Elephas maximus indicus: one gene and its partner. The protein of the gene in region 1 binds, or shares a complex with, the protein of each later gene. Links are inferred from orthologs where the notes say so. Each region holds a gene or a part of one and is shown in the gene's direction. Other genes may lie near its edges. The genes, in order: IRAK2 and IRAK4.

What was found.
Region 2: the proteins of IRAK2 (region 1) and IRAK4 are in contact, whole or in part, in a crystal structure (PDB 3MOP), measured with the Homo sapiens proteins. The link is inferred for Elephas maximus indicus from reciprocal best matches to the Homo sapiens genes IRAK2 and IRAK4. Residues at the interface, in NP_001561.3 of Homo sapiens: Tyr6, Ile36, Lys44, Met48, Glu59, Trp62, Trp63, Trp64, Gly65, Met66, Arg67, Gln68, Ala69, Gln73; in NP_001107654.1 of Homo sapiens: Asp24, Phe25, Pro28, Gln29, Lys34, Glu92, Phe93, Phe94, Ala95, Pro96, Ser98, Val105.

What each region holds. Positions count from the first base shown.
Region 1 is NC_064838.1:35,037,578-35,050,723, forward strand, and holds the start of IRAK2 (interleukin-1 receptor-associated kinase-like 2), read left to right. Parts: upstream 1-6,676; 5' UTR 6,677-7,370; coding exon 7,371-7,464; intron 7,465-13,146. UniProt on the Homo sapiens protein: Binds to the IL-1 type I receptor following IL-1 engagement, triggering intracellular signaling cascades leading to transcriptional up-regulation and mRNA stabilization.
Region 2 is NC_064822.1:98,439,593-98,452,111, forward strand, and holds the start of IRAK4 (interleukin-1 receptor-associated kinase 4), read left to right. Parts: upstream 1-6,677; 5' UTR 6,678-6,766; intron 6,767-7,113; exon of another isoform or gene 7,114-7,237; intron 7,238-9,936; exon of another isoform or gene 9,937-10,247; intron 10,248-12,519. Other genes in the region: pseudouridylate synthase PUS7L, read right to left, coding at 2,302-3,214.

The sequences.
Region 1 (13,146 bases):
TGTTCTTTGTTCTTCCTTGCTCCAGGTGGGTTGAGACCAACTGATGCACCTTAGATGGCTGCTTGCTAGTGTTTAAGACCCCAGACACCACTCTCCAAAGTGGGAAGCAGAATGTTTTCTTAATAGATTTTATTATGCCAGTTCACTTAGATGTCCCCTGAAACCATGGTCCCCAAACCCCCGCCCCTGCTACACCAGCCTCCGAAGCATTCAGTTTATTCAGGGAACTTCTTTGCTTTTGGTTTAGTCCAGTTGTATTGACCTCTTCTGTATTGTGTGTTGTCTTTCCCTTCACCTAAAATAAAACTTATTTACTATCTAATTAGTGAAAACCCCTCTCTCTCCCTCCCTCCCCACTCTCGTAACCATCAAAGAATATTTTCTTCTCTGTTTAAACTATTTCTCCAGTTCTTATAATAGTGGTCTTATATGGTATTTGTCCTTTTGCAACTGACTACTTTCACTCAGCATAATATCTTCCAGATTTCTCCATGTTATGAAATGTTTCATGGATTCATCATTGTTCTTTATCGATGCATAGTATTCCATTGTGCGAATATACTGTAATTTATTTATCCATTCATCCATTGATGGGCACCTTGGTTGCTTCCAACTTTTTGCTATTGTAAACAGTGCTGCAATGAACATGGGTGTGTATATATCTGTTCACGTAAAGGCTTTTATTTCTCTAGGATATATTCCAAGGAGTGGGATTGCTGGCTCATATGGTACTTCTATTTCTAGCTTTAAAAAAAAAAAAAAAAACAACTAAAAAAAGCTTTTTAAGGAAGCAACAAATTGATTTCCAAAGTGGTTGTTCCATTTTACATTCCCACCAGCAGTGTATAAGTGTTCCAGTCTCTCCACAACCTCTCCAACATTTATTATTTTGTGTTTTTTGGATTAATGCCAGCCTTACTGGAGTGAGATGAAATCTCATTGTAGTTTTGATTTGCATTTCTCTAATGGCTAATGATTGTGAGCATTTCCTTATGTATCTGTTAGCACCCTGAATGTCTTCTTTAGTGAAGAGCCTGTTCGTATCCTTTGCCCATTTTTTAATTAGGTTGTCTTTTTGTAGTTGAGTTTTTGCAGTATCATGTACATTTTAGAGATCAGGCGCTGAGTGGAAATGTCATAGGTAAAACCTTTTTACTGGTCTGTAGGTAGTCTTTTTACTCTTTTGGTGAAGTCTTTGGATGAGCATAGGTGTTTGATTTTTAGAAGCTTCCAGTTATCTGGTTTCTCTTCTACATTTTTAGAAATGTTTTGCATACTGTTTATGCCATGTATTAGGGCTCTTAGCATTGTCCCTATTTTTTCTTCCATGACCTTTATCATTTTAGATTTTATTAGGTCTTTGATCCATTTGGAGTTAGTTTTTGTGCACGGTGTGAGGCATGGGTCTTGTTTCATTTTTTTGTAGATGGATATCCAGTTATTCCAGCACCATTTGTTAAAAAGTCTGTCTTTTCCCCAATGAATTGACTTTGGGCCTTTGTCAGATATCAACTGCTCCTATGTGGATGGATTTATGTCTAGATTCTCAATTCTGTTCCGTTGATCTATGTATCTGTTGTTGTACCAGTACCAGGCTGTTTTGACTACTGTGGCGGTATAATGGGTTCTAAAATCAGGTGGAGTGAGGCCTCCTGGTTTCTTCTTCTTTTTCAGTAATGCTTTACTTATCCGGGGTCTCTTGCTTTTCCATATGAAGTTGGTGATTTGTTTCTCCATCTCATTAAAAAAATGTCATTGGGATTTGGATCAGAATTGCATTGTATCTATAGATGGCTTTTGGTAGAATAGATATTTTTACAATGTTAAACCTTCCTATCCATGAGCAAGATATGTTTTTCCACTTATGTAGGTCTCTTTTGGTTTCTTGCAGTAGTGTCTTGTGGTTTTCTTTGTATAGGTCTTTTACATCTCTGGTAAGGTTTATTTCTAAGTATTTTATCTTCTTAGGGCCTACTGTAAATGGTATTGATTTGGTGATTTCCTCCTCAGTGTTCTTTTTGTTGGTGTAGAGGAATCCAACTGATTTTTGTATGTTTATCTTGTATCTTGATACTCTACTGAACTCTTCTATTAGTTTCAGTAGCTTCCTTGAGGATTCTTAAGGGTTTTCTGTGTATAAGATCATGTCATCTGCAAATAGAGATACTTTTACTTCTTCCTTACCAATCTGGATGCCCTTTGTTTCTTTATCTAGCCTGAATGCTCTGGCTAGGACCTCCAGCACAATGTCGAGTAAGAGGTGATAAAGGGCATCCTTGTCTGGCTCCTGTTCTCAAGGCTTTGCCCACTTTTTGATTGGATTCTGTTTTTATTGTTAAGTTATAAAAGTTTTATATATATTTTGGATATTAGGCCCTTATCCAACATATGGTTCCTAAAATTTTCTCCCAAACTGTAGTTTGTCTGTTAACTTTGTTGATGAAGTCCTTTGACGTAGAAAAGCATTTCATTTTTATGAGGTCCCATTTATCTATTTTGACTTTTGTTGTTCAAAATTTGTTGTCTTATCTGATAATCTGTTGTTAAATACTAGATCCCTCCGTAGGGTTTTCAATGGCAGATTTTTGGAAGTAGATCACCAGCCCTTTCTTTGGAGGTGCCTGTGGGTGAACTTGAACTGCCAACCTTTCAGTTAGCAGTGGGGCGTGTTAACCATTTGCACCTCCCAGGGACTCCTTGGCACATTGTAGGTATAACTAAAGAGTTATTATAATAAAGAGGCAGTTTGTAGCCAGTGGTGATTAAGGGACCAGACTGCTATGTTCAAATCTCAGCTCTGCCACTTTGTTTCTATGTAATGTTAGGCTAATTACTTAACCTCTTTGTATCTCAGTGTGGTGCAGTGAATTACTTAATAGAGCCCTTCCAGCTATAGCCTTTGTGACTCCCACAGAATAATTAGGTGGGACTAGGCAAATAAAGTGTTTGCGGCCCACCAAGGGGATTGGACAGCCTGCTAACAATGCAAATAAGGTGCATGGAACCCCTGTGGGGGTGGGACCATGAAAATAAGGTGTATGGAACCCTAATGAGCGGATGGGTCTGTTTTGCCATCACCCTAAGCTTAAAAGACAGCCAATCCCAGAGCAGAGAGGGGTGGACATCACTACCATCAAGAAAGAAGACCCAGGAGTGGAGCGTGTCCTTTGGACCTGGGTACCTGCAATGAGAACCTCCAAGACCTAGGAAACAGAGCGAGATGTAACCTAGGAAAGAAAGAAGATGGTACAAGACGGTGAGAAGCAGTGGCAGAGAAATGGTGGCAGAAGAATCAGGAGACTGGCATAAGATGGTGCAGTGGGCTTCCTGGCCCACAGAACAAGGTGGCTACAGTGGGTGTACCAACCCACGGAGTGAGAGAGTTGAGTGCCTTCTGGCAGGCAGCTTGCTGGAAGAGCAGGGTATCTCTGAGCACTTACTGGCAGAGCTAAAAGAACTTTGTAACACTTGCCTGAGCAGGGCAGAGGCCAGGCTATGGACCAAGGGCTACAGGTGGAGGAACTGAGAGAGGGAGAAAGAGAGAGAGCCCTACCTATTGGCACAGCTGAGAAGCTGACCTAACTGAAGAACTGTATCCTGAGTCATTCCTGATCCTGAATTGTAACCTGTTACTTCCCTAATAAACCCCATAATTGTGAGTTTGTCTGTAAGCTCTGTGTGGCCATTGCAACGAATTATCGAACCCAGCAGAGAAGTAGAGAGTGGCATGGGAGGGATGACTGGTGAAAACGTTGGAGGGCGGAGGTATTGAGGCAGGCAGCCTCAGAGCCCAACTCTTCTTTGAATAACCTGCTCTGGCTTATCCTCCTACGCAGAGCAGAATAGTTCACACATTTTCCTGGAATTGTTCTTGTCAAAATAACCACAAAACGGGCCATAGCTGGCCTCAGCCCATTTTAGAAGGCCTTCAACACCATCTTGACATTTTAAGTGACCTATTTTGGTGTAGTGGTTAAGTGCTACAGCTGCTAACCAAAAGGCCGGCAGTTCAAATCTGTCAGGTGCTCCTTGGAAACTCTATGGGGCAGTTCTACTCTGTCCTATAGGGTCGCTATGAGTCGGAAGGAATCCACAGGGCAGTAGGTTTGGTTTGGTTTGGTATTAGCTCATTAAGAGCAAAATACATATAAGCCTCTGGATGGAGACTTAACACACCGGTGAGAGAAGGTTGACCTCTTCATCCCAGGAAGTTGAACCCCTGTCTAAAGAAAGTGCATAGCCATCTCCAAACATTGGGTGCCTGCATGAAGATCAATCCTGAATATTCATGATAAATTTACATTTCCTTGCCTGCTCTTTGTAAAAGCTCACCTCCCCAAGCTGCTTGTGAGCAGTCTTGGAGGCAGCAGCTCAGACTGTTCCTTTCCTTGCCAAGGAAATAAAAGCATCTTTGTGATCTCCCATATCAGCCTCTTGTTTATTGGCTGTGACAAGTCATGCCAAGCAACTTGGGTTTTCCCAACATTTCATTTGACTTCCACCTCATAGGAGTCAGCCGTGGGCTGATGTGGATCTGGATTCTCTTTCCTCCCCCTTGTGAAGTTAGAGGAGATTGGACGCACACGTGCCGTTTTTGCGGTCTCAGTTTTCTTATGTGTGGGATGGGGGTAATAACCACAACTACCTCACAGATTGTTGTGAGGAGTAAGTGAAATAAAAAAATAAGCCAGGTGAAATTTGGTGGTGATAAAAGCTCAAGTAATAAGTTCTGCTCCTCCTATCCTATTATTAAACTTGTCCTGCAATTCCCCTTTCCAAACTCTGCTTTCCCCCAATAATATTATCTTCTAAGATAATAATGCAATTAGCCTCGTACCTTTTACCATACTCTACTTTTGTTTGATTTACTTCTGAAAATCGGCCCAACAAAAACCCTATAGATCATAACAGTCTGATCTGATCTGAAACTGATCATGGGGATAGCACATGACTGGGTAGTGTTTGTTCTGTCGTGCATGAAGTTACTATGAGTCAGGGGCCAACCCTACAGCTGCTACCAACCACTTTTATTCTCTAACATTATCACCTTCCATATTGCTAAGTTATTTACTTATTTAGTATTTTTATGGCTTAATATCTGTCTCCCTCCACAAGGTAGTATGCTCCAGGAGGGCACGGATTTTGTCCTTTTCTTTCAGAGGAATCTCCAGCACCTAGAACAGTACTGGGCATGTAGTAGGTGGTCAATAAGTATTAACTATTATTGTTATAAAATCTACCCTGATACCCTATTTAATACAGAATAATTCTCCAACCCCGTTTGAACTTTGATTCTCCTTGACCAGCTTTTTCTTTTTCGCAATTGCACTTATATAGCCTTTTTAAAAAGAAAGCGATAGATGGTTATTCATTCAACAAATAGTTTTGGGGGTGCTTACTCTGTGGCACTGTTTTATCACTAGGGATACAGTAAGGTACAAAACTGACACAATTCCTCCCTTTATGGAGCTGACATTCCCATGGGGGACTTTTTTTTTTTTTCTGTGTACATAAAAAAATTTTTTTTTGTGGTAAAATATATATAACATAAAATTTTCCATTTTAACTATTTTTAAGCATATAATTCAGTGGCATTAATTACATTCACAGTGTTGTATAACCTTCAGCACTATTTCCAAAATTTTTCATCACCCTGATCAGAAACTCTGTACTCATTAAACAATAACTCCCTATTTCTCTCTCCCCCCTGGTCCCTGGTAACTTCTAACCTATTTTCCGTCTCTATGAATTTGCCTATTCTAAATATTTCATGTAAGCTGAATCATATAATATCTGTCTTTTTGTGTGGCTTATCTCACTCGGCAAAATATTTTTTTTTATAATTTGTTGAGAATATACACAACACACACAAATTTGACAGTTTCCACATGTACAGTTCAGTGGCACTGATCACATTCTTTGAGTTGTGCAACCATTCTTACCCTCCTTTTCTGAGTTGTTCCTCCCCAATTAACATGAACTCATTGCCCTCTAAGGTTCCTATCTAATCTTTTGAGTTACTGTTGTCAATTTAATGCCATATAGATAGCTCTTCAAAGAGCACAATGGTCAAGGCAGACATTCTTTACTAGTTAAGCTAGATTGTTATTTGGAGTCCTGGTGGCTCAGTGGTTAAGAACTATGACTACTAACCAAAAGGTCGGCAGTTCAAATCCACCAGTTGCTCCTAGGAAACCCTACAGGGCAGTTCTACTTTGTCCTGTAGGGTCACGATGGGACAGTTTTACTCTGTCCTGTAGGGTCATTATGAGTTGGAATTGATTCCATGGCAGCAGGTAGTAGTAGTCTTTGGTTTTAAGAAGGCTTCAGGGGATATTTTTGGTTTAAGGTTTAAAGATTACCTCAGGGCAATAATTTCAGGGGTTTATCTAGCATCTATGGCTCTAGAAAGTTTGGATTCCATGAGAATTTTAAATTCCGTTCTGCATTTTTCACTTTTGGTCAGGATTCTTCTATAGAGTTTTGATCAGAATGTTTAGTAGGCTCAGCATAATGTTTTCAAGGTTAACTTTTGCCGTAGCATGTATTAGAATTTAATTTCTCTTATGGCTGAATAATATTCCATTGTATGGATGAACTGCATTTTGTTTATCCATAAATTTGTTTATGGACACGGGTTATTTCCATCTCACTTATTACCTTTTAACACGCTATGTAATTAGTATTTTTATTACTAGTGTCCTCCCCCTCACACACACCTAGATTGTAAGTTCTGTGAAATCAAGGATTTTATAGGCTTTCTTTTTATGTATCCCAACATCTAGGACCCATAACCAGACCAAACCCATTGCCGTCCGGTCGATTCCCACTCATAGCGACCCTATAGGATAGAGTAGAACCGCCCCATAGTTTCCAAGGAGCGCCTGGTGGATTCAAACTGCCGACTTTTTGGTTAGCGGCCATAGCACTTGCCCACTATGCCACCAAGGTTTCCACATGTAAGACAGTGCCTGGCATATGGTAGGTACTCAATAAAATATTTGGTGAGTGAATTGTATGTGGTGTAGTGCAGGATGCACTGGAAACAGAGTCCGAAGGTCACCTGCAACTGCCACTGAAATCCCATGTGACCTTAAACACTCGAATTCTTAACCCCCTTTGGGTTTTTTTTTTTCCCTCCCAGTTCCGACCCACCTTGGATCGCCAGCTGCTCAGGGCAAGCAGGTGGGGTCGCGTCCTTCCCCTTGTGGCCGCTAGGGGGCAGTTGTGCCCCCGGCGCAGCCCCGCCCACTTCCCGGACCTCCAGCGGCTCCTGGAGAGAACTGCCCGCCCCTTGTAGAGAAACGGAGTGTGGCCGCGCCGGGTTCACTTGCTCGTCCGCCCGGCCGCCGGCAGGTTGCAGTCCCGCCATGTCCTGCTACATCTACCAGCTGCCCTCCTGGGTGCTGGACGACCTGTGCCGCAACATGGACACCCTCAGCGAGTGGGACTGGATGCAGTTCGGTGAGTGGGACCCAGGTGGGAGCGGTCCCCGTAGCATCCCTCCATGAGCCCCCTCGGGGGCTCTGGTCAAGTGGGTCCTGATCCGAGGGTTGTACGGGCTGAGGTTTCTGGAGCGGCCTCGCTGTGGGACCTAGGCAGACGCCTGTCCCCTCGCCGAACCTTACTTTGGTTATCCCGAAGGTGTTCTGTCATCTCTGAGGTCCGCTGGCGCTAAGATTTCTGTTGGCAGCTGCTCCCAGCTCTTTGTCTCTAAATAATGACCACCTCTACTTTGCTGTTCTTTGGACTGTAAAACTTAATCCCCTAAGAGTAGCTATTTACAATTACTGTGTGTCAGGCTCTGTTTTAGTCTTTACAGGTATTTTTAATCCGCTGCTCAGTGGCGCAGTGGGATTTGAACCCCGGAGATCTGGCTCCACCACGACACACTACTTTGTTTGTAACGCCTTGATTCCTCCTCCCCCTCTCCGTTGCTGTTTGGCTGAGAGGAATGATCAGGTGACCTTGGCATCTAGGGGGAGGCTTCGTGTGTGGTCCTCAGGTCCCTACGCAGAGATTTGCATTCCAGGTTCTGCCACCTACCAGCTGGTGGCTTTGAGCAAATTTCTTAACCTCTCTGAGCCTCAATTTCTTCATCTGTAAACCGGAGATGATAATTACGTTTTCTTCATAAAGTTGTGAGGAATAAAAATATTGCATAAAAAAGCACCTAAACAAATTCAGTGTTAGATATTCATATGAGTAATTAGGAAGTGTTACCTATTAAATCTTAGTTTTAAGTCAGTATAACTGGTACCATTTTTATTTTTTAAATACCATACCAAAAAAAACCAAACCCATTGCCGTTGAGTCCATTCTGACTCATAGCCATCCTACAGGACAGGTAGAACTGCCCCATAGGGTTCCCAAGGACTGCCCGGTGGATTTGAACTGCCAACTTTTTGGTTAGCTGTAATGTATATAAATTTTGTTTAAAATTTTTAATTATGAAATATACCATTCATACAAAAGAATATACAATAGATAGGTACAGTTGAAATAATACTACTGATTAAAATGAACATGTATGTGTTATCCATCTAGTTTGAGCAAGAAATATATATTTTAACCCAGTGGTTTTCATCTGGGGGTGATTTGCCCTCTAGAGGACATTTGCCAATGTTTAGAGACCTTTTTGGTTGTCACAAATTGAGTGAGTGGAGGCCAGGACTAGTAAACATCCTCCAATGCACAGGACAGCCCGCTACAACAAAGAATTATCCAGCCCAATGTGTCAGTAGTGCTGAGGTTGAGAAACCCTATTGTAACCCAATAACAAAAGTAATACATGCTTATTGCAAAATACTCTGGAGGAAAAATTCTACCACTCAGGGATAACCATTCTTAATATTTGGGTGCTAATAACTTTTTTTAATAACAGTAATAATAGCAGCTAATATTTATTGGCTTCTTAACTATGTGCCAGGCAAAATGCTAGGTATTGTATGCCTTCCTGCCTTTTTCCCTAAACATATCTATTTATGTGTGTGTATTTTTTAAAAAAAATTGTATCATTTTGTCCATTCTATCTCATAGCTTGCCTTTTTCGCTTAAAATATATTACAATTATTTTCCCTTGCCATTTGCCATTTCAACATTTTCACACGTATAATTCAGAGACATTAATTTTGTTCATCGCGTCGTGCAACTATTACCACTACATGTTTCAAAATTTTCTGTCACCTGTAACAGAAACTCAGTGCCCCCAGGCAATGACCCTTCCTCCAAAGCAATATTCTTTAACAACATGGACTTAGGTTATTTTCATTAACTATTTTTAATTGAAAAAGTAATATATGTGCTAGGTTAAATGATATAATGGGATGGAGAAGAAAGTAAGCCTCTTTTCCCTCCCTGGTCCTCAGCCTCCCAGATTCCCCTCCCTGGAGGCTGTCACTTTTTCCAGAGAGTCATGGCACATATGAGAATATATTTCCACCTGCTTTTCAAGACTGCACCGTGTTCCATTGTTTGGAGGATCTGTGACTTTAACCACTTGGAATGTTTCTTGGACAGTGGACAAGCTTTGTGGGTAGACCGCCCTCTAGTTTTTTCCATGTTGCCTTGCCCTCAATTGTGAATGCCAGAACAACTTGTTTCTAGGAAATTCGTTTAAAAGACCCACCTATAACTTTTTTTCAAAATAGCTTTATTGAGATAGAATTCACATATACAATTCACCCATTTAAAGTGTACAATTCAACTTTTTTTTAGTGTATTTACAGAGTTGTGCTTCCATTGCCACAGTCAGTTTTAGAACCTTTTCATTACCCCAAAATGAAACCCCATACTCCTTAGCCATCACCCCCAGCCCTCCATCCCCTCTTATTCCTAGGCAACCGCTGATCTACTTTCTGTCTCTATGGATTTGCCTATTCTAGAATCATACAATATGTGGCCTTTTGTCTCTGGCTTCTCTCACTTAGCATAATATTTTCAAGATTTGTCCATGTTGTAGCGTGTATCAGAACTTCATTCCTTTTTATGACTGTATGATATTCCATTGTATGGATCCGTCACATTTTGTTTATCTGTTCATCAGCTGATGGACATTTTGGTAATTTGTACTTTTTGGTTATTATGAATAATGCTGCTAAGAACATCCATGTACAAGTCTTTATGTGGATATAAGTTTTCATTTCTCTTGGGTGTGTAGCCTAGGAGTGGAATTGCTGAGTCACATGGTGACTCTAACATTTTGAGGAGCTGCCAGACTGTTTTCCAAACCAGCTGCACCATTTTACATCCTTGTTAGCAGTACATGAGGTTTCCAGTTTCTCTACATCCTCACTAACAGGTGTACCTCCTGTCCTTCCACGCCCCCTGTTACTCACCTTGCACTTGCCACACTGGCCTCTTTGTTCTAGACTCCAGGTCTTTGTACTTGCTGCTTCCTCTCCCTCTTCCCTGTGTATTTCACATGGCTGATTAGTCTGCATTAGTTCGCTATTGCTGCTGTAACAAATTACCACAGCTTCAGTGGCCTAACACCATGCATATTTATTGTCTTACTGTTCCAGAGGTCAGGGATTAGAAATTGGTCTCACTGGGCTGAATTCAAGGTGTCGGCAGGGCTGTGTCCCTTGTGGAGGCTCTAGGGGAAAATCTGCTTCTTTGTCATCTCCACCTTCTAGAGGTCTCCTGTTTTTCTTGGCTCGTGGCTCATTCCTCCATCTTAAAATCAACAGTGTAGCATTTTGAAATCTCACTTGCTTTTTGACCTCTGCTTCTGTCATCACATCTCTGACTCTGACCTTCTGCCTCCCTCATATAAGGACCCTTGTGATGACATTGGGCCCACCGGAAAATCCGGGATCATCTCCCCATCTCAAGATCCTTAATTTAATCACCTCTGCAAAGCCCCTTTGCCATGTAAGCTAACATATTCACAGGTTTTGGGGTTTAGAATGTGGACATCTCTGGGGGCTATGATTCTGCTGACTGCATAGTTCTTCAGCTCTGGGCTCGTGTCATCTCTTTCACAAGGCTGTCCTTGCCCTTCTGCTACTCTCTGTTGGGTTTTATTTCCTTCATTCCACTTAACATGCTTTGGTATTACCTTGTTTGTTATTTGTTTACGTCTGTCTCTCCCCATAGAAAGAAGACCTGGTGGTGCAAGTGGTTAAGCGCTTGGCTAAGTGAAAGTGTGGCTATTTGAACCCGCCAGCCGCTCTGTGGAGAAAGATGGGGCAGTCTGTTTCCGTAAAGATGTACAGCCTTGGAAACCCTGTGGGGGCAGCTCTGCTCTGCCCTGAAGGGTCGCTATGAGTCAGAATCAACTCTGTGGCAATGCGTTTGGTTTGGTCTCTCTTCGTAGAATGTAAACACCCTAGGGCAGGGGCCTCACCTGGCTCATTCATGCCTGTATTCCTAGAGCCTAGGACAGCACCTGGCAAGGGGGCCGGTGGTCAGTGACCATCTGAATGAAGGCTGAGCTTAAGGACATAGGATGCGAAGACTGCGGGGTGCGGCTGCTTTTCACCCTGTGGAGCTGGCTTTGAGCCTTGGTGTGCCCACTCTCCCTGTCGAGCGGATCACTGGACGGGGGCCAGCTCTGCCCCCATTAGCTGCTCCATGCGGGGTCATGGTGCTCTCCAGTTTCCACTCGTGCAGAATGAGTGTTTACCGTTATCCTTCCAGTCCTATAAATCTTGGCTTCTGTGGGTCATGTTAGAAAAAGGTGGTTCCTCAGAGCCGATTGTGTTACTGAGGAGTCTGGGGGAAGACGTTTGAAGTGATTCAGAAAAGCACATACCACAGCATCACCAGAGCGTGTCACAAGCCTGGTGCACAGTGGGTGCTCCATAAATATTTGTAGAATGAATGAATGAACGAATGACTTGATATGCATCCTCTTTGGATTTGACAATTGTCAGATCATGTGGCTGCCTCCTGTTCATTTCCCTGTGCTGTAGCTGCATCCATTTTTGCCCTTTGGGGAAAATAGTTTTGGAGTCTGTCAGAGCCCGTGTACAATGGGTTTCTTTCAGCGTCACCCACCAGGTGTGTCCAGAGGAGCTGGGGGCAGGGTTCCTACGTTGGGTGATGTCTCATCTTGCTCACTGGTGCACTGTCAGCCTGTGTGCACGGTCCTGCTTTTCCCCTGGCCAGCTGTGTGACTTTAGGCAAGTGACTACCTCTCTCTGAGCCTTGAGTTTCCTCATCTCTAAGATGGGAAGGGTAATACCACCCTCGCAGGGCAGCTGAGAGGCTTAGGGGACATATGGTTGTGAAGGTCCTTAGTGCCTTCCCTTTCTCCCAGCCAGGGAAGAGTCAGATTAGTCTGGAGAAGGGGCATTTGACCCTAGGATGGGTCACCTCAGGAGACTGTGCCATCTCTGCTCTGGAGGTCTTTGAAGATAGACAAACTTTTCTATTGAGTCAGGTGAACTTCTGCAGGAATCAAGAAGCCAGACTTGGAGTGATGGTCCCTGTGTAGTTTTAACTATAGGGGATTATATCAGTCTGGGTTCTCCGGAGAAACAGAGCCAGTAGAGATGTATACATATATAGAGATTTATTTTAAGGAATTGGTTTATGTGGCAGGCTGGCAGTCTGGAAACACAGGCAGGATTTTTTTTTTTTTTGTTTAGTTTATTCTTTTTTTTCAGTTGTGCATTCGGTTAAAGTTTACAGAGCAAATTAGTTTCCCATTCAATAGTTTGTACATAAAAGGTTTCATGGCCTTGGCTTCATTCCCCACAATGTGTCAGTACTCTCCTATTTCCGCCCTGGATTCCCCGTTTCCTTTCATCCTGATTTTCTACGTCTTCCTGCCTTCTCATCTTTGCTTTTGGGCAGCTATTGATTGTTCTAAGGAGCACGTTCCTATTGAGTGTTATTGTTTAGTTTTGGGGCTTGTCTGTTGTTTGGCTGGAAGGTGGTCTCTGGGAACAGCTTCAGTTCCAGGTCAGAAGGGTATCTCAGGGCCATAGTCTCAGGGGTTCCTTCATTCTCTGTCAGACCAGTAAGTCTGGTCTTTTTTGTGAATTTGATCTTTTGTTCTACATTTTCCTCCTGCTCTGTCCAGGACCTTCTGTTTTAATCCCAATCGGAGTGCTTGGTAATGGTAGCTGGGCACCATCTATTTCTTCTGGTCTCCAGGTCATGCAGGCTATGATTCATGTGGTCTCTTAGTCCTTT
Region 2 (12,519 bases), on another chromosome or scaffold:
CTGGTCAAAGTAGACTGATAATATAAAGACCGTTCCTTTTATTTACTTCTTTTAGCAGTTCTTTAAAGCTCCTTCTCAGCCGAATTCCTACCTTTAAAAGTTTGGAGGCCCAACCCTGTTTGTACCATCTTTGCTGCTCTCAAAAACTGTCTGAATGTTCTATGAGTTCACTCCATCAGACAAAAGATATACTCAGAAATTCTGTCAACATAAGACACCTACTGGGGCTTCTGCTGAGGGAAAATGTCCCTAAGATTCTTAGAAGAACTACTAGTTAACATACCAGATCTGTGAGTCATCCCTAGAGAACGTTTTGTCTGTATAAACCATTCTCTGAAGCACTGTAATAGATCCTTCTGAAATTTTACAAAGGATTTTACAATCACATCCTAGATCTCCTCATTAGACCATGTTGTCCTTACCATGGATAATCTCTTAGCCTACAAGCCATTCTTAATATAAGTATCATGTGCCATCTAGAGAGGCTGGGAATTAAAAAAAAAAAAAAGTATTTTCAAACCCAGCAAGTCCTGGCTCTTTTGTATCTAACAGTTTTTCTTTTAGAATTTCAACTAAGTAGTAAGAAGCTAGGTGGCAACATCAATAGTTGGTCTGGATGTTGAGCACCTCCTTATTAGATGAATTTTCTACTTTCCATAAATTTTATGCCACTATATAACAACGATCCCTTTCATCTATTTCAGTAATATTTTCCTCACTTTTCTTTAAACCCTCATTAACAGCTTCTTTGAGGTCCCTGCAAAATTCTGTCCACCAACTAGTCCCAAAGGCACTGCAACCACAGGTTTTAGGCTTTTGTTACAGCTTCAATCTACTTTTGGTACCAAAATCTCTATTAGTTACCTAATGCTGTACAATAAATCATCCTAAACCTTAAAGGCCTAAAATAACAATAATCATTTGCTATCCCACACAGTTTCTGTGGGTAAGGGATTCAGGAGTTGGGCAATTCTGGCCTGAGGACTACTGTGAGGCTGCAATAAATATCAGCTGAAACTAGAAGGTGTACTCCCAAGATGGCTTGGAAGTTGGTGCTGACTGTTGGTGGGAGGCCTCAGTTTCTCACCACAGGGTTCTTGAGTATTTTCAAGGTTTAGTGTCTTGCTTCCATTGGAGGACTGATATCAAATGCCTTTTGTAACCTAGCCTCAGAAGTCACACACTGTCTGCCATATTCTACTGGTAACACAGGCTGGCCCTGATTCAATCTGGGTAGGGAATACAAAGTGTATGAGTACCAGGAGTCAAGGATCATTGAGGCCCATTTGGATGCTAGCTGCCACACCCTACCAAGCCAGATAAAGAACTACCGTGCACCTGTAACCTGCCCGAGGTTATTAGGTGTTATATAGGGCTGGGGACCAGCCAGAGAGGAGAGGCCTAATTAAATAGCAAGGGCATTCAGGACAGACCACAGAATAATCATGCTAAAATTGCAATTACATAGTTGCTGTTGTTGTTAGGTGCCATCAATGAGATTTCCAGTTACAGAGACCCCATGTGACAGAGGTGAGCTGCCCCAGCCCTACAGTAAACATTTCCCATCCTTCAAGTAGGATATAAGCCAATTAAATCTGATCAGCCAGACTTGTAGAGTGAGATTTCACCAGTTACTATTCCACCCTAGAAGTTGAATATATATCCCCTAAAACAACAGTTCCCAAAATGTGGTCCCCACATCAGCAAAAGTGTCACCTGGAATTTGTTAAAGCGCCACCCCAAACCTTCTGGGAACAGGGCTCAGAAATTTGTGTTTTAACAAGCTCTTTGGATGACTATAATGACTAAGCTTTGAGAATTTTTTCTCTAAAAGACTGACCCAACCAAATCAAGGAGTACTCTGTAAAAGCTTTCAGGTTCATGCCTTTCCTTAGGCAGGGAAGTTTAATTGTTATGGATTACAAGATATTCGCTCTACTTTTCCAAGCATAGCATACATGTTCTGTTTATTTCTAAACACTTATTTTTATTTAAGATGACTTTCAAAATATGAAATTAAGATTTACCTCCAAAAAAGCTTATTAGATATAAAAAACTACTTCAACTTTATACTGTATATTTGTAACTGTGTTAACCATACCTCTCTTTTTTAACCATACTTTCATCAGTAAGGCTATTTTTTACACTTAGTATAATATGAAAGATTTTATCTTCCATTAAAAGACAGACTCATATTATTTTCAAATATCCCTTTGGCCAGGTCTGTTCAATTCATTTAAAATTATTCAACTTTCATACAATTTTAAGCTTATCCAAGAAAACAATGATTTATTAAATTACCTGTATATATGACTTTTCTTTCCTGGCATTCAAGATGAGACCTTTTCCTGTGCTTGTGTGCTTTTTCCCGAAACTTTACTGTTATCACTACATTTGGATTATCAGCACTGTGATTCAGTTCTGAAAAGGATTTGGTTTCCACGAGGCTTCCAAACTTCTTGTTGACAAAATGATGGACAGCTTTTCTGTGGTCTTTGTTTGCATCCGGTTTAAAGGTAAATTTGGAATTTTCTTTCTTTGCATCCAAATACTTAAAAAAGTCAAATGCTTCTTCATCAGACACCAAGTGACAGAGTTCTTTATACTCAAGATTTGGTTTTACAACAATTTCGCTGTTTTTTCCTACAGTTATTAAATAAGGAAATTTCTGCCGAACAGCACTATGTAAACTGGCCCGCTGGTTTTTGTCAAGGATTCTGCCTAACGAGAATTCAGGAGATGGTCCCACTAGCTCAATTTTAGAATTCCACGTCTCTTTTACATCACAAGCAAACTGATTCAGTAATTCATTAGTTTTTTCATCTAATAAGGAGCCTAATATATCAGCTTTTTCTTCTTCACATTTGGAAGCTCCATTATTGATCATATCTTCATTTTCTGAACTAGACTGATGATTTTGGTCACCATCGGAACACCTAGCTAAAGTACCAAGTTCTTGGTTACGCCCACCTTCAAAGGATAAATTGTGAAGGTCTAGTTTTGGTTTTTTGGCATAATTATTTGGCTCAGGTAGTATGTTATTAATCTCGTACAGAGGTTCATCACTGGCTTTATTAACTAACTGTCCCCGCTCATCAATCTCAGTAACAACGAAGTCCCTTGGTGAGCTTTTTATAGTGCCACGAAATCCAGCATGATCAGTAATATAACACAAAGAACTGAACCTGTTTCTATAATCTGTATCCTCTTCCATTCTTACATAATAATGTCTACAAAAGAAACAAAGAGGCAGTCAGTTACCAGAAAGAGAAGTTGTGGAAAACAAAACAAAAAAAGGAACAGGTTTGCTGGATTTATTTAATTCTCTTTGTCCCTTTCAATCCTGAGTTCTCTTAAATAGAATTATTAATTCATGAATATATACCATGTGTTCTTTGACTCTCATACACCAAGATGAATGAATAGGCAAACATTTTCTAATATAACTTAAAACTTGACTCTTCATCTACCCCAGACTTCCATCTATTACCTGGATTTTAAATGGGTCAGTTTCAAGCTTACCTTACAAATAGTATTTGTAGGACCACAAAAAATAGACTAGAACATAGGACTGTTTACAATGATTTGTCCAAACCCCATCCGTAGAGTTGAAAATTTCATTAATTTCAGAGAACTTAGGACTAGAGTTTCATATGCTAAGGGTGCAGGGACAGGAGACAAGAAGAAGATAGAAAGAAATAGGACTTAATTTAGTCCCGGGCCTTAAGCCTTCTCTAAAGCCCCCATTAGGACAGACACGAACTTTTGAAGTTGATCCCAAGGAGATTTCCAACCATCATTATCTTTGCCATCAGAGAAAAGGAGACCCTTATAGAGCTTTGTGGGAGCAGTACACAAAAGAATAGTCCTCTGAGGAAGACTACTCACTCATCAAACAACCCACGGCTACCATACCACATGGAGCTATGATAAAGGTCAGTTTCCCAGAGACCCCATACCAGTCAGATCATCACAAACCCACACATTCTAGGAAATTTATCATCATCAGGGCCTTCACCCCCATTTATACAACATATTCTACTAATCCGAAACAATTTACCAGCCTCCTCTTCTCAATTCTTTCCATTGTGCCATGTAGAAATTACAGCAAATTTTCTATATCCTAATTTCCCAGGGAATATACAAGGATATTTACTTAATTCCTTAATTCCTGCATCCCCTTCAGTGTCTTGCTCTAATTGAAACCCGGCTGTTTCCCCAGACTACTACTTCTGCAGTCCTCTCAAGCAAAGGCTATTTTTCCTTTCACACGCCACGTGCCTTAGGTCTGGAGGTCATAAATATTTTCCATTTCCCACTGCTCCTTCCAAACTATTTCTTCCTCCTCTACTTTCAAACTTCCCAGTGCCTCTGAAGTTCATGCCATCAGGCTTTACCATCTGCTGTCATCTTCACTCTAATCCCGAGGACTACTCTTCATTCACTGATGACTTTAACACCTGGCTTACTATCTTCACATCCAGCACGACTTCCATGATCATCCACATCCATCTTTCATTCAATATCATTGTCCCTCAGTTCCTCAATCTCCCAAGTCAATTTCATCTGTCACCCCCTTCCGTGGTCACACCTTCTCATTTCCATAAACTGCAACCTACAAAACTTGCACTTTAAGTATCTAGTTCTCTGATCACCCCTGCTATCTTTCCATCAGCCCTACTTAATACGTCCCTTCCGGAAAATCTTAGACATTGTGAAGGTCTCTAATCACTGCTTCTACTACTGACTCACTCTAGTCCATGCTCCACAAAACAGCCAGAATGGTACTTTTAAAGGTAAATTAAATCATATCAGAACCCTGCTTAAAACACTCCATTCACATGTATTAATAAAATACAAATTCCCTACCCTGGTTTTCAAAGACTATGATTCTGGACCCTGTCTATTCTCCAAAAGCATCTTGTACCCTTTCCCCATTATCCATTACACTCCAGCTATACTGGCCTTCTTCAGTTCCTTTAAACTAACTGTTTCTGCAGCTGAAATTGTCCCTTCTCCAATTATATAGCTGCACCTTTTAGTAATCAGATCCTCAGAGGGGTCTTCCCTGACGAGTAATCTAAAGAAACTAGCACACTCTCTTCACGAAGCCTTATTTTAACTGTCTTTATAGCTTTTTTATTTAATATTTTCTTTGTCATTTACATTGTTTCAATAAAATGTTAGTTCTGTGATGTCTGTCTTATTTATCACTGATTACCCCACATTTAGAACAGTGTCAAGCACATATTAGGCACACAATTCAACATATTGACTGTTGAATGACGCCACTAGTACAAAATATGAGCTGTAAGAGTAAAGAGGAGGAAAGAATGGCTCACTTTTGCCTGTGATAATAAGGAAAGGTATAACACAAGAAGTGGTCATCTAAGTAAGTGTGGCCTAAAAAGGGTTCGAGATATAGAAATGAGGCAGAGAGAATATCATCAAATAATGTACAAAAGATGCAATGTGTTAGAGAAAAATAAACATCCCAGATTGGGGGGGGGGGGCTTTTCTAGTACAGTTCTGGAAAATACAGCTAGATTAGCGTCAGACTATGGAAGACACCTAATGCCCTGCCAAGGACTTAGAATCCACTGGGTGACCAATAGATGGCAACTGCAGATGTCTTAGAACGACATAATCCAAAAGATGATTTAGTAAAATGACTCTGATGGTACTGATCAGTATGCATCTGATGAAACAGCGATGTGATCAAGAGTAGAGCTGCAGAAACTGGCCGTGGAAACAATGATCTCTTTCCCTATGAAGACATTTTAAACTAGAGGGGTAAGTAGAGCAAGGTGGAGGGCGGGAGGGGTGGGAAGGCAACAACAAGGGAATACCAACCAAGCGAGCATCTTGGGACAAGAGCGGACAAATGCAGAAACCGAAGTGTGGCAGAAATGTGAGACAGGTTTGGAGGTGAGAGTTTGGAAAACCTTAAAAAGGGTTTGGAACCGAACTGGAGGGCAGCCAAGGAGCCCACGTGGAGTTAAGTATAAATGTGCAAGACTCCTAAGCAACAGGGTTTGCAGATGAGGATTTGGGGTGTAGAGGTGGATTTAGTTTGGTTTAGCCAAAGTTGGAGAACTACTAGTTTGAGGAGGGATCCTGAAAAAGTAGTAGAAATGAGAGAGAGAGCTCCCTTTTCCCCATGCTCTTCCTTTCCAACTGTGCAATATCTGCCGAACGGGTTCCCAGAGAAGCAGAACTAAAGCCTGTGTCGCCGTCTCACTCTTCCCTGAGGTATTAACACACTTTTTTTTTTTTTTTTTTTACCAGTAGCTCCACTTGCTTCTTCAACCGTCCCCACCCCTCGGTGTGTCACTGCCCCACGTCGCCTTCGTCTGGGGGGCAAAGGATCGGGATAACCAATACAAGCTTTATCATCGTCCCAAACACAATCCCCACACCGTGGAAGAAGCAACGCGCAACACCCGGTCTACCTCGCATCCAGGCGAAGGTAAGTCCCCGCACAACCCTGTGCGCATGCCCGGAAGCCTCATCTATTTACCGTCCTCCGGGAGAGTATTTAAAGGGGCAGGCTCCCACGTGAAGAAGCGCCTTAACCAAACGTTCTTCGTGGAGCGGCCTGACGGCGCAGAGAGGAAGAAGCGGGGCCTGGAGCAGGCGGAGCCCGGGGCGGGGCCTGACGGGAAGTGCTGTCCTCGCTTCGCTGCTTCCCGCTGCTCGGGTTGCTCCGCCGCTGGCTTCGCCGCGAGGCGCCCCGCCCCCGCGCAGTGCCCCACGCCCCGGGCAGGTAAGGGATTGCCGCTGTCCGCTCTTCCTGCTACCCGGAGGTTGTCCTCCTCTGCTCCAGGCTTAGTAGGGTGGCTGTTTCGGGCTGCAGATCGCTTTATGCCTTATATTCAAAGTGAGAAAAGTTTAGAGAGGAAGTGGTTGCATGAATCACCTCCGGCGTCGAGATTTGGAGTGAGTCCCTGGAGATCCACAAGTTAGTCTGACTGGGAGGAAGCTGAGGCATCGAGAGAGCCGTCACCCAGCTGTTCAGTGGCGCCGTCTAATCTCGCCTCAACTTTCTCAACTCTGTGGCTTTTTGTTCCCTGAACCCGTTTACAAAATGAAATCTTGTCTCCTAAAAACCAGGAAGTAAGCTCAGCACGCGGCCGAGATGGGAGGCATTCAGAGGCTCCACACGATTCTGATTAGCTTGTTTCCTCCAGTTTCTAAGCTTCCAGGACATTAGAGAGTGAAGAGTTGTAAGAAACAGGTAAGTACATTATCACATACGAAAAGTGTACCTGACGGCGTGGAAGCAAGAGAGGAGACAAAGGGATAAAAAACAAACGTTGAAAAAGCTAGCAAGCACATCAGCCAATTTGGAATGAGAATAGCGCTATTAGTGCCTCAAAATGCTATATGCCCAGTGCCCAAGGAGTCCCTAACAGTAAAAAAAAAAAAAACAGTAGAGGATATTAAATTCTGCTTTTCCCCTCTCTAGGGATAAAAAAAAAAAAAGGGATAATCCTTGAAGAAGACTGACAGAAAGTTAGAAATTGTTTTATTCTCCTTTTTTGATGGTAAACGTTTGATTTTGCTTTCCACCTGTCTAAACAGAGCTCCTGATCTTCCAGGCAAAACTTAGACCTTCTAGTCTCTTCTCCATCTCAGTAAATGGCAGGAAGCTGTTGTTCAGGCCAAAAACCTTGGTACTGTCCTCTCACCCTCCACATCAGCACATAGGATTCTTTGGCTCTACCTCAGAATAGACTCATCCTCCAAGGACTTGTGCCTTCTCTTCTACTACCCTAGCCCAACCTCCAGCATCTCCCACCTGGATTGTTGGTGTAGTTGAATTGATCTCTCCCTGCTCCTCTGCCTTTAATCCAATATAACTTAATTTCAGCAGCAGCCCCAGTGTCTTTTAAGACATGATTATAGTGGATGTCTTGCTTCTTCTCAAAACCTCATCTGTCTTCTCATCTCACTCAGAGGATAAACCAAAGTCAATAAAAATGAGATCTGGGTACCTGGTCCCCTTACCTTACTAACCACATCTGCTACCCTCTTGCTCCCTCCCCTTCAGTCTTATTGTCTTCTTGCTGTTTCTCAAAGGGCCCACTTGGGCCTTTGCATTTATTATTCCTTTTGCCCAGGACACTTTTCTCACAGATATCTCACAGGCTGGCTTTCTTGCTTCCTCCAAACCATTGATCAAATGGCACCTTCTTATTGAGGCCTACTCTGACCACCTTATTTAAAATTACAGTCTGGTCTCTGTTTATTTTTTTCCACTGCCCTTGGTACCATCAAACATATTATTGTTGCCATTGTTAGCTGTCCTCAAGTCAGCCCCCGACTCTTGTCGACCCTGTGCACAACGGACCAGACTGTTGTGATCCACAGAGTTTTCATTGGCTCATTTACAGAGGAGATGGTCGTTTCTTCCTAGTCCCTCTTAGTCTGGAAGCTCTGCTGAAACCTATTCAGCATCATAGCAGCACGCAAACAGCCACTGACAAACAGATGGTGGCTGGGCTTGAGGAGCATTGCAGGAATTGTACCCAGATTTCCTGTGTGGGAGGGAGAATTCTACCACTGAACTCCGCTACGCCCATAAATGTATTTTAGATATTATTTGTTTTTTGTCTGTCTTCTGCAATTAGAATATAAGCTCCACAAGTTCAGGTATTTTTGATCTGACTTGCCTATTAATCTCTGGGGCCTGGAACAATGTCTGGCACAAAACAGTAAATATTTAATGAATGAATGATATTTTACGTTTAATATACCCAGAGTGTTTTAAAGCATTTACCGTTGAGTTAGATCATGTTCGAGAAAGATGTGTTATAATTTATGAATATATGTTTAAGGACAGCCCTGTATAATTTAATAGGTCCGGAAGGCATCACCAGCTTTTGTTCATAATGATGCGTTCAGTTGTCTGAAAATAAAGGTTATTTATCTGGTATATTTTGCTTACAAAGGCATGGAAGTAAAGAATGTGTTTTAGAAAGGTTATACATGTCTTAAAAGTACTGATATTTTCCTTTTTTAAAGATATCTGGTGGAGCAGTGGTTAAGTGCTTGGCTGTTAACCAAAAGGTTGGTAATTCGAACCCACCAGCCACTCTGCAGGAGAAACATGTGGCAGTCCGCTTCTGTAAAGATTTACAGCCTTGAAAGAAGCCCCACGAGGCACTTCTACTCTGTCCTATAAGGTTGCTACAAGTCGGAATCAACCCAACGTCAACAAATTTTTTTTTAATATATGTATTTTTTTGATCATCTATTGTATGCTATGTTTAGGTCTTTTTCATTTGTTGATCTTAAATCTTATGGCAACTCTTGAGTTAAATATTACTATCTCTGTTTTTCAGCTAAAGAAACCAGGGTCTGGAGAAATTTGAGTTATTAACCCTGGTCACAGTTGGTTTGTGGAAGAGCTGAGATTAGAACCCAAACTCACGCACCCTCGAAGTCCATCTTCTCTCCTCCCCTCTACACTCCGGCCTTCTGATCGAGTAGTAATGAAGCATAGTCATAAAACTTTATTAATTCATTTAATGAGAGCCCCCTGGGTTGTAGAAGCAGATGCTGATTTTAGTATATTCCTCAATTGCCACATCACCATGTGCGCTTGTCTGAGTTGTCTTAGTTGAAAATATGAATGATTTTTCTATACTATGAGAATTAATGATATAACGAAATAGTCACAGAGTTATTTCTGTATTTACTTATTTGTTTGTAAGCAGTATTTCCTGTTCCACCTCTATAAATCCCAAGAGTGCGGTAATGTGAAACCTTGAACAATTTCTGAAGAGGTGATGTATTTTAAATAATTAAGATGTTTGCTCAAATAATCTATTTTCATTGTTGAAAATCCAGGCCAGCAAAATGAAAACAAATGAAACCACCCATTAAAATTACCATCAAGAGATTTAAAAAACAAACAAATCTATCGCTGTTGAGTTGGTCTTGACTCAATAGCGAGCCTGTGTGTTACAGAGTAGAACTGCTCCATAGGGTTATCTTGGCTGCAGTCTTAAAGGAAGCAGATCATCAGATCTTTCTTCAGTGGCACCTCTAGGTGGGATCGAATTGCCAACTTTTTAGTTAGTAGTTGAGTGCAAACTGTTTGCACCACCCAGGGACCTCATTAGGAGATAAACTGTTGCCGTCAAATCGATTCCGACTCATAGTGACCCTATAGGACGGAGTAGAACTGCCCAGTCTGGTTTCCAAGGATCATCTGGTGAATTTGAACTGCTGACCTTTTGGTTAGTATCTATAGCTCTTAACCACTACACTGTCAGGTTTCCCATCAAGAGATAACCCCTGCTAATACTTCGGTGTATGTTCTTAAAAATACCTGGTTGGGAGTGGTGTATAAATGTATGCCTGAAGTACATTTTAAATTCTGAGATTTAGAACTTCTGGGCATATATTTGTAGAAGAGTGGTCAAAAGGCCTCCACTATCACCTCTCCTAGAAATCTGGCTGCAGAAGAGGTATAGAATTTATTCTTCTGGCCTCACGATGTTGTGGTTGTTAGCTGCCATCGAGTCAGCCCCCGACTCATAGTGACCCCACGTACAATGGGATGAAATGCTGACGAGTCCTGTGCCTCCCTGTGGTGGGAGAGGTTGCATGGGCTGGATTCTAGCAATCTGACTATTGTTATCCACTGGGTTTTCATTGGCTATTTTTCAGAAGTACATTGCCATGCCTTTCTTCCTAGTCCATTATAGCCTGGAAGCTCCACTGAAACCTGTTCAGCATCTTTGCAACACTCAAACCTCCACTGACAGATGGGTGATGGCATGAGGTGCTTTGGCTGGGAATTGAACCCAGGTCTCCCACATGGAAGTTCTACCACTGAACCACCACTGCCCCATGGTCTTACAGTAGCCAGTTTTTATTCTCAATTCCCTGTATTTTAGTTCTAGCTTCTAGGATTATTAAACGGTTCAATGTTTATTAACTGTGTCAATCAACTTTATACTTCTTACTGTGGAAAGAAATCTACAAGTAAGAAAAAATAACTTGAATAAGACAACTGCAGAATCTGTAAGCACATACAATTTCTTAATAAAACATATTCAGTCTTTCTCTCATTCAATACAAATGTTTTGAGTAGTTGCTACAGTGAATATGGTTAAGTCCCTGCCCAGGAGAGCACACAGTCTATTAGAGAAGGCATATGCATAAGCAATAAAATATAGTACTTGTTATAATAGAAGGATTTCCAGATGACATTTGGAGCAAAATGTATGACTATCAGGGAAATCCAATAATGCCTTTTGATGTGGGCTCAAAGGAATAGGAGCCATTTACCAGGTGGCCCTCAAGGTGCTTGGGCAGTTTTTTTACCTAACCATGGATGACTTCAACTCCTGCTTCATGGAGAAAATAGTATTGTGTAAGAACTCTCCCTCTCCCTTCTCAGATCTCTGTATCCAAACCTGTTTCCCTCTTTCTGATTTCAGGAATAGGCCTCATTCTGTAGCTATGAGTCAGAATGGACACAACGGCAATGGGTTTTTTTTTGTTGTTGTTTTATTCAAGTCTGAACTCTCCACCTGCACTTAATACACTATCCCTTTTGTATCTTAAACTAGTGTAAGTCTTAAAACAAGCCCTTACATCAGCAGAGTCTCTTGAGACTCAGGAGATTCTTAGATCAAAATCATGTATAGGTAAAAGATACATTAAGAGTGTAGTAGATTTTAATGTAAAAAAAAATTCATTGGTATGGTTCAGATCCACATTGCAGCTGACCTTTAAGAAATTATCACTTTTCAAGTTTTAGTGTAGAATCAAAGAATAATGTACACTACTTTCTGAAAAGACTGTTAAAATCCTCCACTCTTTTTCAATTATACGTCTGTATAAAGCTAGATTGTCCGTATACATCAATCAAAATGATACATTGCGGCAGATTGAATGTAGAAGCAGATACGAGAATCTGGCTATCTTCTATTAAGTTAGACATTAAAGAGAGTTGCAAAACTATAAAACAATGTCACTACCTTAATCACTGTGAGGATTATATGAAATATTGTATACAAATCAGGTGGCATGGTATTGGCTAGTGAATTTGTCATGGATTGAATTGTGTTCCCCAAAAATTCGTGTCACCTTGGCTAGGCTGTGAATCCCTGGTAGCGCAGTGGTTAAGCATTTGGCAGCTATCCAAAAGGTTGGCAGTTCGACTTCACCAGCCGCTCCTTGGAATCCCTCTGGGACAGTTCCACACTGTCCTATAGGATCGCTATGAGTTGGAATCTACTCAGTGGGAGCGGGTTTGGTTTTTCTGGCTTTTGGCTAGGCCACGATTCCCAGTATTCTGTGATTGTCCGCCATTTTGTCATCTGATGTGGTTTTACTTTGTCTTGTAAATTCTCAGTGGCACCTAGCAACAACAACAATGATGTTAATGAGACAGGATTAGAGGCAGTTATGTTAATGAGGCAGGACTCACCATGCAAGATTAGGTTGTGTCTTAAACCAACCTCTTTTGAGATATAAAAGAGAGAATCCAGCAGAGAG